Arabidopsis thaliana: one gene and its partners. The protein of the gene in region 1 interacts with the protein of each later gene in a pairwise test. Each region holds a gene or a part of one and is shown in the gene's direction. Other genes may lie near its edges.

The links. The genes of interacting proteins can lie anywhere in the genome.
Region 2: the proteins of UTR3 (region 1) and DTX1 interact in a protein complementation assay, tested with the Arabidopsis thaliana proteins (one large-scale study listed by BioGRID).
Region 3: the proteins of UTR3 (region 1) and AT1G33080 interact in a protein complementation assay, tested with the Arabidopsis thaliana proteins (one large-scale study listed by BioGRID).

Annotation. Positions count from the first base shown.
Region 1 is NC_003070.9:4,910,549-4,915,013, reverse strand, and holds UTR3 (UDP-galactose transporter 3), read left to right. Parts: upstream 1-1,846; 5' UTR 1,847-1,984; coding exon 1,985-2,088; intron 2,089-2,277; coding exon 2,278-2,375; intron 2,376-2,470; coding exon 2,471-2,601; intron 2,602-2,715; coding exon 2,716-2,746; intron 2,747-2,831; coding exon 2,832-2,935; intron 2,936-3,027; coding exon 3,028-3,149; intron 3,150-3,246; coding exon 3,247-3,652; 3' UTR 3,653-3,921; downstream 3,922-4,465. Other genes in the region: FLP (Duplicated homeodomain-like superfamily protein), read right to left, coding at 4,367-4,465. UniProt on the Arabidopsis thaliana protein: Essential sugar transporter required for the transport of UDP-glucose from the cytoplasm into the Golgi and the endoplasmic reticulum. Essential for pollen development and involved in embryo sac progress.
Region 2 is NC_003071.7:1,333,732-1,338,195, reverse strand, and holds DTX1 (MATE efflux family protein), read left to right. Parts: upstream 1-1,645; 5' UTR 1,646-1,715; coding exon 1,716-1,961; intron 1,962-2,049; coding exon 2,050-2,594; intron 2,595-2,685; coding exon 2,686-2,772; intron 2,773-2,853; coding exon 2,854-2,910; intron 2,911-3,002; coding exon 3,003-3,447; intron 3,448-3,531; coding exon 3,532-3,582; 3' UTR 3,583-3,738; coding exon of another isoform or gene 3,739-3,912; 3' UTR 3,913-3,926; downstream 3,927-4,464. Other genes in the region: AT2G04050 (MATE efflux family protein), read left to right, coding at 75-131, 208-652, 760-810; AT2G04039 (DUF2996 family protein), read right to left, coding at 3,739-3,909, 3,994-4,071, 4,213-4,418. UniProt on the Arabidopsis thaliana protein: Efflux carrier for plant-derived alkaloids, antibiotics, heavy metal and other toxic compounds. Involved in cadmium detoxification. Requires probably a proton-motive force for the efflux.
Region 3 is NC_003070.9:11,984,117-11,991,058, forward strand, and holds AT1G33080 (MATE efflux family protein), read left to right. Parts: upstream 1-1,533; 5' UTR 1,534-1,635; coding exon 1,636-1,908; intron 1,909-3,013; coding exon 3,014-3,555; intron 3,556-4,539; coding exon 4,540-4,626; intron 4,627-4,965; coding exon 4,966-5,022; intron 5,023-5,169; coding exon 5,170-5,408; intron 5,409-5,706; coding exon 5,707-5,825; intron 5,826-5,925; coding exon 5,926-6,012; coding exon of another isoform or gene 6,013-6,081; exon of another isoform or gene 6,082-6,130; coding exon 6,131-6,211; 3' UTR 6,212-6,404; downstream 6,405-6,942. Other genes in the region: AT1G33070 (MADS-box family protein), read left to right, coding at 668-965, 1,059-1,183.

The DNA of each region.
Region 1 (4,465 bases):
TAGATTGTTCAAGTTTTTTTTTTTGGTTAAAGTTAATGGCTCAAGTTATTAGTATTCATGATATTAAATTCATACATGAAACAGCTTATGAATACTTTTTGTTAGTCTGAAATTTAGAATTTAAAAAGAATTAAAAGGAAGTTGTGGTTTTTGTTTGGTGTTTTTTTTAACTAATTATGGTCATGGTTGACGTCTGCTAAGGGACAACAAAGTGGTGGGTCTGGATCGCCCATATCGTTGAAATTTTGATCGATATTTTACAATAATACTTACTATCGTTCAGTCACAATTATTAGCGAGATTCCCCTTCAATCAAGATGTTAAGTGTTTACAACTTTTCTTTGGATGTTATATTTATGTTTAAGAAACTTTTACATACACTTCCAAATTATGAGAGATATCAAAACCTTAGAATAAAATTTGGTATTATGGACGATTTTATCTTTCTGAGACGTATTGGATTTACTATTAGATTATTGTGCATATGGCATGCATGCATTAGATATATATAGTCTTTCTTCGATAAATAAAAGTTTAGTCAATGGATGAATCAATCTTTATGTGTAGATCTTTTGTTGATCAACAGGTGATCAAGATTTAAAGGACCCGAAATTAGTTACGAAGTATTGTGGATTTTTCGCATTCTAGTTGACCAAATGAATAATTAAAGTATGAGATTCAACTCTTAAATAATATTTTTGTAAAATTAAGTTTTGAGTTAAGAGACAACGTTAAACCGTCATAATTTATGTGTGTTATATATATAATCGTCAAACCATGGTAAATAACTAAACGCATAGTAGACAAAAAATTTGTAATCATAGATGTAGACGACGGTAATCATCATTTAGATTTGAATTTTTAATGGAACGTGGTGGCTAACGTCGAATACATTTTTGGTGTATTTCTTAAATATAATATCCCATGCATTGACCCAAGAAACTACTTATTAATCAGTTAATCTATATTCACATTGTTATTGACCGGCAGATCGAAAGAGAGTTCTTTTTTCTTTTGCATATTGCATATCACGTGTGGACAAAAGCCCCATTTGGAATCTTTTATGATATTATATTGTTATGTTACACATTAATTTGTTATCTCACCAAGACTTCTATTTTCATTTTGTATCCGGTAAGAGTCACTCTTTTGAGTTTTGACTTTTGACTCTTCAAAATGTATAATTGGTTCTCCCATGAGGATTAAGTATGTCATATAAATTCCGTTTCCCAATATATATAACTTCTATTTTCATTGAGATATAGTATAATATTATTCGTATAGAAAATTACTCAAATCATAATGAACTATGCATGAGTGCATGCATGTGATACCTTGTTTTAATATAATGGAAATTCGATATTTCAAACTTTTCTCGCTATGTTGACGTTATTGTCACATTTACTTTAAGATATATCATATTTTGTTTTAGTAATCTTAACAATGGGTCATCACTAAATTTTAATCAATTAAATCATGTTGGCAACTTTCCTCCATTTGTGTATATACGCCTTTTTCTTTCATTTTCTTACCACAAGTGATCTTAGATTTGTATGAATTCATCAGTTAGTCAAACTGACATGATTAGCTGTGTGCAAGTTTGCTTAATCAAATTAAGGCCCAAGCTGTAAAAAGAACATCCGTTTACAAGTTCTAGGAAACTGCGTGACGTTTTCATGACAATAAAACGGCACATAGTTCCCATTCCTATCTCAGACATGAATGTGCATATGACTTGGATTCCAGAAATAAATCCACGTCCTATAGCCAATCAGAAGTGTCATGTCAGATTATTAAGCCAATGACACAGTTACACGTGGAAAATCTACGTCTTTCTCGCGCCTCCTACACTCTCTCTAATAACTTTCGTTTCCACTTCAGACCGATCTCATAATTTGATCGCAAAACTGATCAAATAGCGTAAAATTGAAATTCAAATTTTCGCCGGAGCTCCGTCGGATAAAACAATAAGCGACGTGCGGCGATGGAATCTCACGGTTCCGGTCTCCGGCGAGTTCTGTTATTGTCGTTCTGTGTCGCTGGGATCTGGGCAGCTTACATATACCAAGGCATTCTTCAAGAGACCTTGTAAGTAAAACTCGTTAGGGTCGAAATCGATCAATCTTATTTTAGCTCGTTGATTATTTTCTCTCGACATTGCTCGATTCTGTTTGTTCGAGATTGTTTCTATTCTCGGAATCCTGGTTGGTGATGCGTTTGCAATTATTGGAAATTTATAGAAATGTAGCTGATAGAACTCTAACATTTTCGAATTAGGTCGACGAAGAAATTTGGTGAAGATGGGAAGAGATTCGAGCATCTTGCATTTCTGAATTTGGCTCAGAATGTAATCTGCTTGGTTTGGTCTTATATAAGTGAGTAGGGCATCTTCATTGTTTATTCCTTAGAATTATAAGTTTATAACAGACGAATAAATGGAACTGAAGTATTTTTGATTGATTATGAGCAGTGATTAAGCTCTGGTCCAACGGAGGTTCTGGTGGAGCCCCATGGTGGACGTATTGGAGTGCTGGCATTACTAATACCATTGGTCCTGCTATGGGCATTGAAGCTTTAAAGTATATTAGTTACCCAGCTCAGGTAAATTAGGCATTGTTAGTGTAATAAAAACCTCATTTTTCTTGATTATGGTTGATAGTTGAGGTAATAACCTTTCTTGGGAAGTAATATTGATGCAAAACTTGCTTCTTGCAGGTCCTTGCAAAATCTTCCAAAATGATTCCAGGTGAGGTGTCAATTTAGAGCATCAATCCATAATCGCTCTCAACTGCTGCTATGTGTATCTTATATATGTTTTTTCTTTCATGTAGTTATGCTGATGGGCTCCTTAGTTTATGGCATAAGATACACTTTGCCTGAGTATCTTTGCACCTTTCTTGTTGCCGGAGGAGTATCTATGTTTGCCCTTCTTAAGGTAGGCAAATCTGCATTCAGGAACTTTGATCATAATCTTTGTTATACTTTGTCTGTGGAAATGTAGTAAACCGTCTTTGACTTGGTTTACAGACAAGCTCTAAAACCATCAGCAAGCTAGCACATCCCAATGCACCCCTTGGTTACGGGCTTTGCTTCTTAAACCTTGCCTTTGATGGATTCACAAACGCAACCCAGGATTCCATTACCGCAAGGTATGACTCTTGACATTCTGTCAGATACTTAACCCAGTCTGACATCTACAACATGGTCTAGATGTTGGACATTAATCATCGCCATACATGGATACAGGTACCCCAAAACTAACGCATGGGACATAATGCTGGGAATGAATTTATGGGGAACCATATACAACATGGTCTACATGTTTGGATTGCCACATGGGAGCGGATTTGAAGCTGTGCAGTTCTGCAAGCAACACCCTGAGGCAGCATGGGACATTCTTATGTACTGTTTATGCGGTGCAGTAGGCCAAAACTTCATCTTCTTGACAATAAGCAGATTCGGGTCTCTAGCTAACACGACCATAACCACAACCAGGAAGTTTGTAAGCATCGTGGTATCTTCAGTTTTGAGCGGGAATCCGTTATCTTCCAAACAATGGGGATGTGTGTCGATGGTGTTCGGTGGATTGTCTTACCAAATTTACCTGAAATGGAGGAAGCTGCAGAGAATGCAGAAGAAGAAAAAGGCCTGAAGCTGAGATTGGGGATCAAAATATTTAATTCTTCAAGAAAATTGTTTTTGATTTGGAAACTTTTTACTTCCAAATATGTCTGAAAGTTAGAGAGAAGAAAGCTTAGTCCATTAGCAAAATGTAAACTAATGCATTAGAAGAAACTTATATATATCAAACCAAAAGACAAATCATATATTTCCACTCATATATATTTGTCTTAACAATACAACAAACTCTTCCTTCTGAGTTTTTCATTTTTCCTAAAGTTACACTCTGGAAAACTTCTTTATATATATGTGATAGAGATTCTGTACAGAGATGATGAAAACAAATCAAGAAATCTGGGGAAAATGCTCAGATGATGTATCTGAGTAAAGCCCTTAGAGACAAACCAAAGAATTTTTTCTTAAAGACACACTGGTGCCTTCTTTTGTAGATGGCTTCCTTATGTTAAGTAAGAAAAGAAAGAGAAATCTGAATCTGAGTATATGGCAGATTCTTGAGAACATTCTTTGATGGGGCTAGAAAATGTTACCGTTAACATTCTAGGACCAGGAAAGAAACTTAAAAACCTTGAGGGAGGAATGCAGATCATGGCATGCCCGCTTCACAAAAACTTCCAGGCCGATATGGCTGCAAAACCTAATATGAAATCTAAGCAAAAGTGGAAAAAATTACGTCTCCATGGAGACTAAACCGCGGTTTAGGGTATGAGAGAGATGGTTGGTTGGTTTACAAGCTATGGAGAAGGACTCTTTTGCAAGGGGGTGGTTTTGAAGGATTAGCACTTGGACATGGAGATGAGGACTCGATCCCTAGTGTTTTTAGCAG
Region 2 (4,464 bases), on another chromosome or scaffold:
TCATATAACGACTTCTTTTTATTTTTATTATCCTCTTTACTAAAAACTAATGAATCTTATTTCTTTAATGCAAGTCTTACAACAGCAAGTTTGCACTATGTGATTCCAGGTGGAGTCGCGGCGGCTGTGAGGTATGAACTCAAATTTTTAACCAAACATATTCAACATCTTCTTCCTAAACAATAATAGTCATTTGGTTTCTTGCAGCACACGCGTGTCAAACAAATTGGGAGCTGGGATTCCTCAAGTTGCTAGGGTTTCAGTATTGGCAGGGCTTTGTCTCTGGCTTGTAGAGTCAGCTTTCTTTAGCACACTTCTCTTCACATGCCGAAACATTATAGGCTACGCATTCAGCAACAGCAAAGAAGTTGTGGACTATGTGGCTAACCTAACTCCTTTGCTCTGCCTCTCCTTTATCCTCGACGGTTTCACAGCAGTTCTGAATGGGGTTGCAAGGGGAAGTGGTTGGCAACACATTGGAGCTTTGAACAACGTGGTAGCTTATTATCTTGTAGGAGCTCCTGTTGGAGTATACTTAGCTTTCAATCGTGAGTTGAACGGAAAAGGACTTTGGTGTGGTGTTGTGGTCGGATCCGCTGTGCAAGCCATAATATTGGCTTTTGTCACAGCTTCCATAAATTGGAAGGAACAGGTAAAACACTTAGAATAGAAGATTCGTCATTTTAGCATGTTATACTTGTACATTCTTTTTTGTTCTTTCTTTAATACTATGAAGTAATTTTAATCTATGATTTGCAGGCTGAGAAGGCTAGGAAGAGAATGGTCTCTAGTGAAAATAGATTGGCTTAAACTAAGGATGTTTCTGAGAGCTATCTCAAACTATTTTTGTAGGTGTTGAGCAAATTTTTATGTATGGTATATTAATGTGTTAAAAAATGTTCTTACAAAATAATTTATATGTATGATTTTTTCTCAGCCTATCTTTTTCACTATGTTGTGTAACTTGTAAGTGTATAATCATCATTTATCCATAAACATGCTTTTCTTAATTTTTTCACATGTCATTCCCAATAAATTTATTTTATGGTATTTGTGACTATAACCACAATCTTCTACCAATAAATCTTAGTGAACCCTTTCCGAGAGAGCTTTTAGGCTCATAATACAATACTATTCAGATTTTGAAACTCGGACCTTCACGACAAATCTCTGACGAAACTTTGGATTCTACTTGAGAGCGGCTGTCACTTTTAGTTTCAACCACAAATGATTTACTAAAACCTGTGTAAAATCAGATCCAAATGTCTTTAAAGTGGTCTAAAGAATCAAAACTTAAGGTAAGCAAATTACTTAAATTAGAGTCAAACTTTAGGACTATATAAAAATATAAAAATCCACAAAAGTAATTAATACAAGATTGAATGTTCAAACTCTACAAAACAAAATAATTCATATTAGTCTTCAGTCTTCACATATGTTCTTATGTAAATAATTAAAAAGTATTAACACTAATGACATGTCATTTTTAATATGTATATTCTATATATCTATTTTTATAATATAGTATATTCGTGTGCCACTAGTATCTATATTTTCAAACAAGTCAAAACGAATTTGCTTCTTTACTCATCATATCTACTTCGTCACCACGTTTGTAGTTCAAGTTGCCTTTGTTGTTTATTGACTTAGTCGGTCTATAAAGATAGGATAAATATCATCTTAAAATCAAAGGGAAAGGCCTTCAACGTTAAACAATGGAGGAGCCATTTCTTCTGAGAGACGAGCTTCTAGTCCCTTCTCAAGTCACATGGCATACAAATCCATTAACCGTCGAGCTAAAGAGAGTGAGCCGCTTGGCCGCTCCTATGGCCACTGTGACCATTGCTCAGTACTTATTGCCTGTCATCTCGGTCATGGTCGCTGGCCACAACGGCGAGCTCCAGCTCTCCGGTGTCGCTCTTGCAAACTCCTTCACAAACGTCACCGGTTTTAGCATTATGGTAATTATGCTATGACTCTAACCTTTTCAACTCAAGAATCAAATGGACTCTCTCAAGTATTGAAAACACTTCAATTATTTTTGTGCAGTGTGGATTAGTGGGTGCACTTGAAACTCTTTGTGGCCAAGCTTATGGAGCCAAACAATATGAAAAAATCGGAACTTACGCATACTCTGCTATTGCTTCCAACATACCAATTTGTTTCCTCATATCAATTCTCTGGCTTTACATCGAAAAGATCTTGATTTCTCTCGGACAAGACCCTGAAATTTCAAGAATCGCTGGCTCCTACGCCTTTTGGCTTATACCGGCTTTATTTGGCCAAGCGATTGTCATACCACTGTCCCGGTTTCTGCTAACACAAGGGTTGGTTATTCCTCTGCTCTTCACTGCCGTGACCACCCTTTTGTTCCACGTTTTGGTTTGTTGGACTTTGGTTTTCTTGTTTGGTCTGGGATGTAATGGACCTGCCATGGCTACAAGTGTGTCTTTCTGGTTTTACGCTGTGATACTCTCATGTTATGTGAGATTCTCCAGCTCTTGCGAGAAGACTCGCGGATTTGTATCCCGAGATTTTGTGTCTTCTATCAAGCAGTTCTTCCAATACGGAATCCCATCAGCTGCAATGATTTGGTAAGTCATTTTAAGTTGTTTGTCCGTCAAGTTACATACCCTAATGCTCTTCTTCTTATCCCGCTTGCATTTTCTCGGTCTTCTTTAATAGTCTAGAATGGTGGCTATTTGAGATACTCATACTCTGCTCAGGTCTTCTCCCTAACCCGAAACTCGAGACCTCTGTTCTTTCAATTTGGTAAGTACCATAGAAGGACTTCTTTTTATCTTTTGTGGTCTCTTTACTAAAAACTAATGAATCCTGTTTCCTTCTTTTCAGTCTTACAATAGAAACTTTGCACTATGTGATTTCAGCTGGAGTCGCCGCGGCTGTGAGGTATGAATATGATCTCAGTTTTATCATTCAGAACATCTTCATCTTATTATAGACAATTCTTTCCTAAACATTTAGTGATTGGTTTCTTGCAGCACACGTGTATCAAACAATTTGGGAGCTGGGAATCCTCAAGTTGCTAGGGTTTCAGTATTAGCAGGGCTTTGTCTCTGGATAGTAGAGTCAGCTTTCTTTAGCATACTTCTATTCACCTGCAGGAACATCATAGGATACGCATTCAGCAACAGCAAAGAAGTTTTGGACTATGTAGCTGACCTAACTCCTTTGCTCTGCCTCTCCTTTATCCTCGACGGCTTCACAGCAGTTCTAAATGGAGTTGCTAGGGGAAGTGGTTGGCAACACATTGGAGCTTGGAACAATACTGTTTCTTATTATCTTGTAGGAGCTCCTGTTGGAATTTACTTAGCTTTCAGTCGTGAGTTGAACGGAAAAGGACTGTGGTGCGGTGTTGTGGTTGGATCTACTGTGCAAGCCACTATACTGGCTATTGTCACAGCTTCCATAAATTGGAAGGAACAGGTAAATAGCCATTTCAGCTTTTTACACTTGTAAATTCTTTTATGTTCATTCATTAATGCTATGAAGTAATCTATGATTTTGCAGGCTGAGAAGGCAAGGAAGAGAATTGTCTCAACTGAAAACAGATTGGCTTAAACAAATGATGTTTCTCATAGTTATCTCAAACTATTTGTATGCCTTATGCAAATTTTTTTTGAAAGATGTTTATAAAAGAGGGTCATTTGTTTTCTTAATCAATTTTATGACAAGGATTTATAAGTTTTCTTCAATTTTGGTATACAAATGTAATAATTACAAGTGAACAAAAACCTCATTGGTTCCAAACGGGGATGATCCCTTGTGCAGCAAGACGCTTCTCGACCCAAAACACAACGTGGTTCGCAGTTGGTTTCCTCTCGTCGACAAGAAATGGTTCCACGGTGCTCGGACCTGACCCGTGTGAGGAAATTGAAAATCCTTTTGCTCCTGTTTTAAGCAACAAACCAAAAGACATAATGTTCCATTGAAATTTTCTGTAACAAGAGTCTCAAGTAAAAGATTCAATACTTCACCTGTAAGGTTTCCAGTAGGGAAAAAGGCCCAAAAGGAATATGGAATACTTTTCTTTAAGAAAAAACCTTCCAACTGACACAAATAATGATAATTGTCTTAGAAGTTTAATCAAGAAGACATTTTGAGAACATCCAATAAAACTGGAGCCATATAGGGTAGAGAGATGGCCCCATAAGCATGGCAACAAAGCATTAGAAGTTAGAAGCAAGAAACCTTATCGTCTTGGAAAGATAAATCTATGTCAGAGATATCATCTTGAGATTCAAGAATGGCTTGTAAAGGAGGAATCACGTCTTCTTCCATCATTTGTCTCAGCGGTTTCGCCACTGCAGCCGCTTTAGCTGCGGGTTTAGGTTTCTTTGCCGGAACCGCCACTGTTGACTCTTCTCCTTCTTCTTTGTTTTTCTTTTCAGTAGCAACTAGGAAGAGAACAAGAAAGTTACTCTTCTCGAATTTTTGAGCCAA
Region 3 (6,942 bases), 7.1 Mb from region 1:
ATTTATTAAAAACATAACAAAAATAACATCATTGAAAACCTTTATAAAAAATATATAACTAAATGCTGTGACTACTTTCCTAAGTTTCTCTCAAGTTTTTTTCAAGTTTTGCTCAATTATTTATTTGGTAAATTATATGCAGAAAAACAAAACAATTCCACAACTTTTTCTCAAGGTTTTTTTTTTGTGTGCTCATAATTTATAAATTGAAATTAGAAAGATACATGAAGATTAGGCTTCATCGGAGAAATCCGAGTAACAAGTTCGAAAATTGAAAAGCTTAACCATACATAACTCAAACATAGAGACACGAACTGCAGTAAGCTTGATAGGGGAAGAAGTGTCGAAACTAACTAACACAAGCATGCCCATGAGGAAGGGACGGATAACGAAGAAACTCCATGAGTTGACAACTCTCTGCGAAGTCAAAGCATGTGTGGTAACCTACAGTCCGTACGAGAATCCAGTGGTGTGGTCGTCAACCGAAGGTGTTTAAGAGGCGGTTTTAATGTTTATTAAAAGGCCGGCGATAGAACGGTCCAAGCTGATGATGAGTCATGAGACCTACTTGTAGAACCAAATTACCAAAGAAACAAAGAAACTGGAGCGTCTACGTCTTGAAAACCGAGAAACTCAGCTTACACATTTTATGTTTGATTGTGTTGAGGGTAAGATAAGTGAGCATCAGTATGGTGCAAGGGACCTTCAAGATTTAAGTTTTCATATTGATCACTATATCAATCAGCTTAATTCCAGGGTCAAGATCCTTACAAACAATGGTGAGTCTTCTTCTTCCGTTCCTCCTCTACTTCATACTTCAGTTGCGGGTGCGGGTGCAGCTCCTCTTCCTGTTGCGGGTGCCGATCTTCCGATGGATCAGAATCAGTATGAGCCGATTCAGCTCTATATCCCTATTGGTCTTAGTTATCATATTCAATACCAACATGAAATCTATGATAATTTCAGTTTGGATCCAAATCATTAGTATCCGTTTCAACATGATCCACTCATGAATATGTTGATGGAATATCCTTATCAACAAGTGGGTTATGTTGGAGAGCATGCGCACATCCTTTTCATGAACGGAAACTACTACAACTACCACCAAACACCAACCGTTGGTCTTACTACCACCGGTCACATGCCTTCCAACAACAACACCACCCCCACCACCGATGTGTGATGTGTTTCAATAGTTTGCATTTTTGTTTTGTTCGTTTCAAAAAACCTTAAACTCTTACAACAATTAATTGGATTTGGTTTGGTTATAAAAGATGTGTCTATTCAAACACCAACTTTTGGTAAAATATTTGTAGAGGCCATACCTCGCTGTGATATATATTTCGACTATCTCATCCCATTTTTTGGGTGATTTGTTCAAAACTAGCTATGTCTTTTTCGGTATGCAATGTATAAATGTAAATGTAATTTTGACAAATTTTAAATTTTATTTAAAATTTATTTATGAAAAGTATTCATTTTGCATATAAAATACCAATTTGGCAAATTAAAGAATCTTAAAAAGAGGTGTAGGCCGGCTTTTCATTTCCTCCGTACGTAAATAAACAACCCACCAAACAAAAATCTCTCCTCGCTCCATGCCTTCTCTACTCTCTCTTCATTCTCTCCTAAGCTATGGCGAGAAGAGAAGGAGAAGTGACGGAGACCCTTCTGAAAAAGTCGACGGAGAATCGCGGAGAAGATCGGGATGGGTTAGGGATGAAGGAGAAGGTTTGGAGGGAATCTAAAAAGCTATGGGTTGTGGCTGGGCCGGCGATCTTTACGAGGTTCTCCACGTCCGGACTATCTTTGATAAGTCAAGCTTTCATTGGCCATCTTGGCTCTACCGAGTTGGCCGCTTACTCCATCACTCTCACCGTTCTCCTCCGTTTTAGTAATGGTATCTTGGTGAGTTTACTATAAGTCTATAACGATTAGATCAGTTCTTCCACACACTCTTTACTACAAATTCGTAAAACATAAAAACAATTTTTTTTTGTTTTAATAACTATTAATATATGTTAAGGATTGTTCTGATTAGTTTGAATGATATAAATCGTACTATATAAACGGTGACGTGAATGCTTAGATAGACTTCTTGTGGGAACTTGTTTTGGTTGATTTGTCAACCAATCATAAAAATTCACAACCACTCAACTCTTTGCCTTTATGAAATGAAATTATGCTATTTCTATGTATATAAGATATTGAATGTTTGGAAGGCATTGTTGGTCGTATACTCTTCGTTTATTGTTAGTGTAGTTACCTTTTTCACATAAACAAGTCTCAACTGAAACTCCATGAGTTTTGATTATTACATCAATTATTATTAATGGTTGGAAATGCAACAAAAACATTTCATTGTTAAGTAGAATCAGTGGGTAAATACAAAATAGAATAAAGTTTAGAAAGTTGGAGAATATAACAAACACCTTTAACCAAAAAAAAGTTGGAGAATATATTGATTTTATAAAAAGTGAAAAAAAAATATTGTAAGAAATGACAAAAAAAATAAAGGAATAGTCAGAAGATTAATTTATATTAAGACAATATATTCCCTTTTCTTATTTGTACTCCATAGTGCAACAAAGATAACATTGTCAAGAAGTATAGCGAGTCATTGGCCACAAATGTCCAATGGTCACCTGCCAATGCCATCGTTTTCTTAATGTTTTGGTCTTTAATTAGCATATCATGTGTGAGGTTCGAATTTATAATATGAAATAGTGCTTTTAAAATGTTATTAGACCATTGGACATATATTCAGTTACACCAAAAAAATTCAATACACAATATATGATCTCTTTACCAACAAGAGTTTATAGGTTATATACATTTTTTAGTTATCAACATGCAATATCCAAGTTTAAAGTTTAAATATTATAGTTGTTTATATATAAGCGTTTATCAAACCTACTTAGTTCTTGTTTTATAGGCAAAATATGTAAAATATTTAACCATAAAATAGTTTTTTTTTGGTGTAATAACGAACCGTCAATGAAACAATATGCAGTTAGGCATGGCTAGTGCGCTAGAAACACTATGTGGTCAAGCCTATGGAGCAAAACAATATCATATGCTTGGGATCTACCTCCAAAGATCATGGATCGTCCTCACAGGCTGTACCATTTGCCTTATGCCCATCTACATCTTTGCAGGCCCTATTCTCTTGGCTTTAGGTCAAGAGGAACGCCTTGTTCGTGTGGCTCGGATCATAGCTCTATGGGTCATAGGCATCAACATCTCCTTTGTGCCTTCCTTCACTTGCCAAATGTTCCTCCAAGCTCAGAGTAAGAACAAGATCATCGCCTACGTTGCTGCTGTTTCGTTAGGAGTCCATGTCTTCTTGTCGTGGCTTCTAGTGGTTCATTTTGATTTCGGGATCGCTGGTGCCATGACCTCTTCGCTCGTAGCACATTGGTTGCCTAACATTGCGCAGGTTTTATTTGTCACATGCGGTGGATGTACGGAAACGTGGAGAGGATTCTCTTGGTTGGCTTTCAAGGATCTTTGGCCCGTTTTTAAACTATCTGTATCTTCCGGTGGCATGATTTGGTATGATTTTCTAATCTTCTCACCTGGTAAAAGTATCAACATCCATCAACGACATAAGTATATATTTACTAGTCATACAAATACTTTTGTAGACCATGTGGTTGTAATCATATATATGAAAAGTTGACCAACTCTCTCCAAATGATTAACACATCATCACTTTAGCATTTGCCATGTGTCTACTAAGTAATTAATGTAAGCTCTTCAACTTCTAATTTATAGGTTAATGATATATTTATTATTTAATTTTACATATTTAATTATAGTATTACTAAATTTATTTTAATATTACATGATTTTTCAATAAAACAATTTTAATAGTTTTCTCATACTCGAAGATTTTTTTTTGTAATCCAAACTCAAAATACGATTATATAATAGTCTTAGATTACTTAATGATTTGAGTAAGTTATTCTCTTAAATTGATATTTATATTCTCTTAAATTGATATTTATACAATAAATCACTGAGAGTGAAGAATACGTAAGGAGCTCCATCATCAAATTCTTAGGTTTCTAGAATCCAAAACTACCCTCTGTTAAGTTGGTTTAATACAAACGTTATTTATGAATTATATGTATGATGCATTGTTGAGAATGTTGTTAGAAAAAATATTCTTGAAACTAAAAATAATTGCTTATTGCATGAATAAATAATTAGATAAATAAAAATTATATTTAAACTAAACAATACGAAAAATTCCGAAAAAACCGCGGCGTAGCGCGGGTGATCACCTAATTTATATATAATGCCACGTTGGGTGAAAAGCTGCCAAGTACATTCATTCATTTTCTCAAAGGTTGAGAAATTTTGAATAAATGTTATAGAGAAAAATTTCGTGTTTATGTATTTGTATAATAATATTATTACTATAATAGTATTAATATTATTGTTATAATATTACTATGATTAATATATATATATATACACATATATTATGATAATATATAATAGCACTTGCTTGGTGATATTAATTTTTGGCAGCTTGGAGCTATGGTACAACTCGATCTTGATTCTGCTCACGGGAAACTTGAAAAACGCTGAGGTTGCTCTTAACGCACTTGCAATCTGGTAAAGTATTTTTATCAGTTTTATGTCTTTTGTCTTTGAAGCTATATTCATACGATCGATTTGTACATTATCTTTAGATCATTCGTCTGAATGCTACTGACATTTTACCATTTTTGACTTCATACGGAACACTACTGACGAACATTGTTCGTAGGAAAACAGAAAGAATTGGTTTTATTGTCTACATAACAATATACATTGATGCTAGAGAAAATGATAGGTTTAGGTTACCAATTGTACTTATACTCTCTAGCTAATTGGTAGCCGCGGAATAGCATAATGCTTTTGCGATTGATCATAGGCACTTAGATTCAATATTATATGTTATAATTTTCGCAGCATCAATATAAATGCACTGGAGATGATGGTAGCCTTCGGCTTCATGGCAGCAGCAAGGTGCGTATATATTGTATATACTAGATATATTTGATTATATTCTTCTTGATTAAGTCATTCTAAATATTTGATTACACATGCTTTATTTAAATATCTTATAATCATCTTCATATTTTTATTTTATTTTGTAATAATGTTTTGTAATAGTGTAAGAGTTTCAAACGAGATCGGGAGTGGGAATTCTAATGGAGCCAAATTTGCAACAATGGTTGTGGTTTCGACATCACTTTCGATAGGAATCATCTTCTTCTTTATCTTCCTGTTTTTAAGAGAAAGGGTTTCATACATTTTTACAACAAGTGAAGCTGTTGCCACACAAGTAGCCGATCTTTCTCCACTCTTGGCCTTCTCCATTCTCTTGAACAGTATTCAACCAGTTCTCTCTGGTATGTATCTTGCCTTTTCGATACTCCTATATTGTTTACCATATATAAGACATTAATTCATCGAACGTTGTAGGGATTCATTTTTCAATGATCACTCTATATTCATGCATTGACTGAATATGTGAAATTGGTTATTATAGGTTTTTACGTAGAAAGGGTTTTGTGTGATATATATCCACTATCCAGTCACTTTCACGTATAATGAGTTACCAATTTATCATTATATGATGAATACGTGACGAATGAGTTTGTTTATAACCCTAGACAACATGTTGAACTTATTTATAAATGGGTACAGGAGTTGCTGTTGGAGCGGGATGGCAGAAATATGTTACGGTCGTTAACCTTGCTTGCTATTACCTTGTTGGAATTCCTTCCGGTCTTTTTCTTGGCTATGTCGTTGGTTTACAAGTCAAAGTAAGTCTCAATTTTTATTATTAATATTTTCTTTTTAGTTTTTTAATTTAATTTTGTATATACAAATATAAAATAGTTTTTTTTTAAATATAAAATTTAGGGTGTTTGGTTAGGAATGATTTTCGGAATCTTCGTTCAGACTTGCGTGCTTACAGTAATGACTATGAGAACAGACTGGGATCAACAGGTTTGCAAATCGAATATTATTGGATTTTTAGTAGAAAATTATAAGTATTTTTTTTTGGTTATAATATAAGAACTGACTTGTATATATACATTACTCCTTATTGTTATAAATAATGCAGGTGTCTTCGTCGTTGAAACGTTTGAACCGTTGGGTTGAACCAGAATCCCCAAGTCGAAACCAAACTTTACAAAACGAATGATGGTGAAGATTGAAGTAAAACTTGAGTTTGTATTCGAATTTTGAATTTCTACTTCACCCTCGAATGTACACACTTGCGTAAAATGTAAATGTGAAACAAGTGGTAACGAATTTGGACCACTAAAGTATCAGTCCTTAACTCAGTGATCATTTTCACCTACTAAACTAGGAATCTTTAAGAGCTTTCAAGTGGCAAACCAATTATCGCACATTCTTAGAGAAAAAAATTTGAGAGGAAAAAACGGTAAACAAATACTGATATAGATCAAAGAAGAAAGAAATAGCACTACAACAAAAATCTAGTGTAACTATTATAAAGCTGTCGTAACAAATCAAAGCCATTTTGTTTTGTTAGCATTTTGTTTCGAATTTTTCTTGGCTATGCTATAGATTTGCAGATAAAGGTAGAATTATTTTTTCATTATTATGATTTTTCAAAACAAAATATACGTTGTTTTCTTATTTTAACATTTCTTCTACCGAATTTTTATTCACCAAATTTTTTTATGTAGTATAAAATTTAAAACTATTTTTCTTTCAATGTCAAAATCTATACTATTAATTGGGAAGTATTGTAAATAAACAACCTTATGAAGGGTAGAATATTACATAGAATGCCATTGATTGTTAGTGTTTTTAAATAAATTCATTAAGGATACAATAGTAATCACAAAATTAATAGATTTAAATTAAAAATTGTAATATTTTTTAAAGTAATTATTAGTTTCCCAA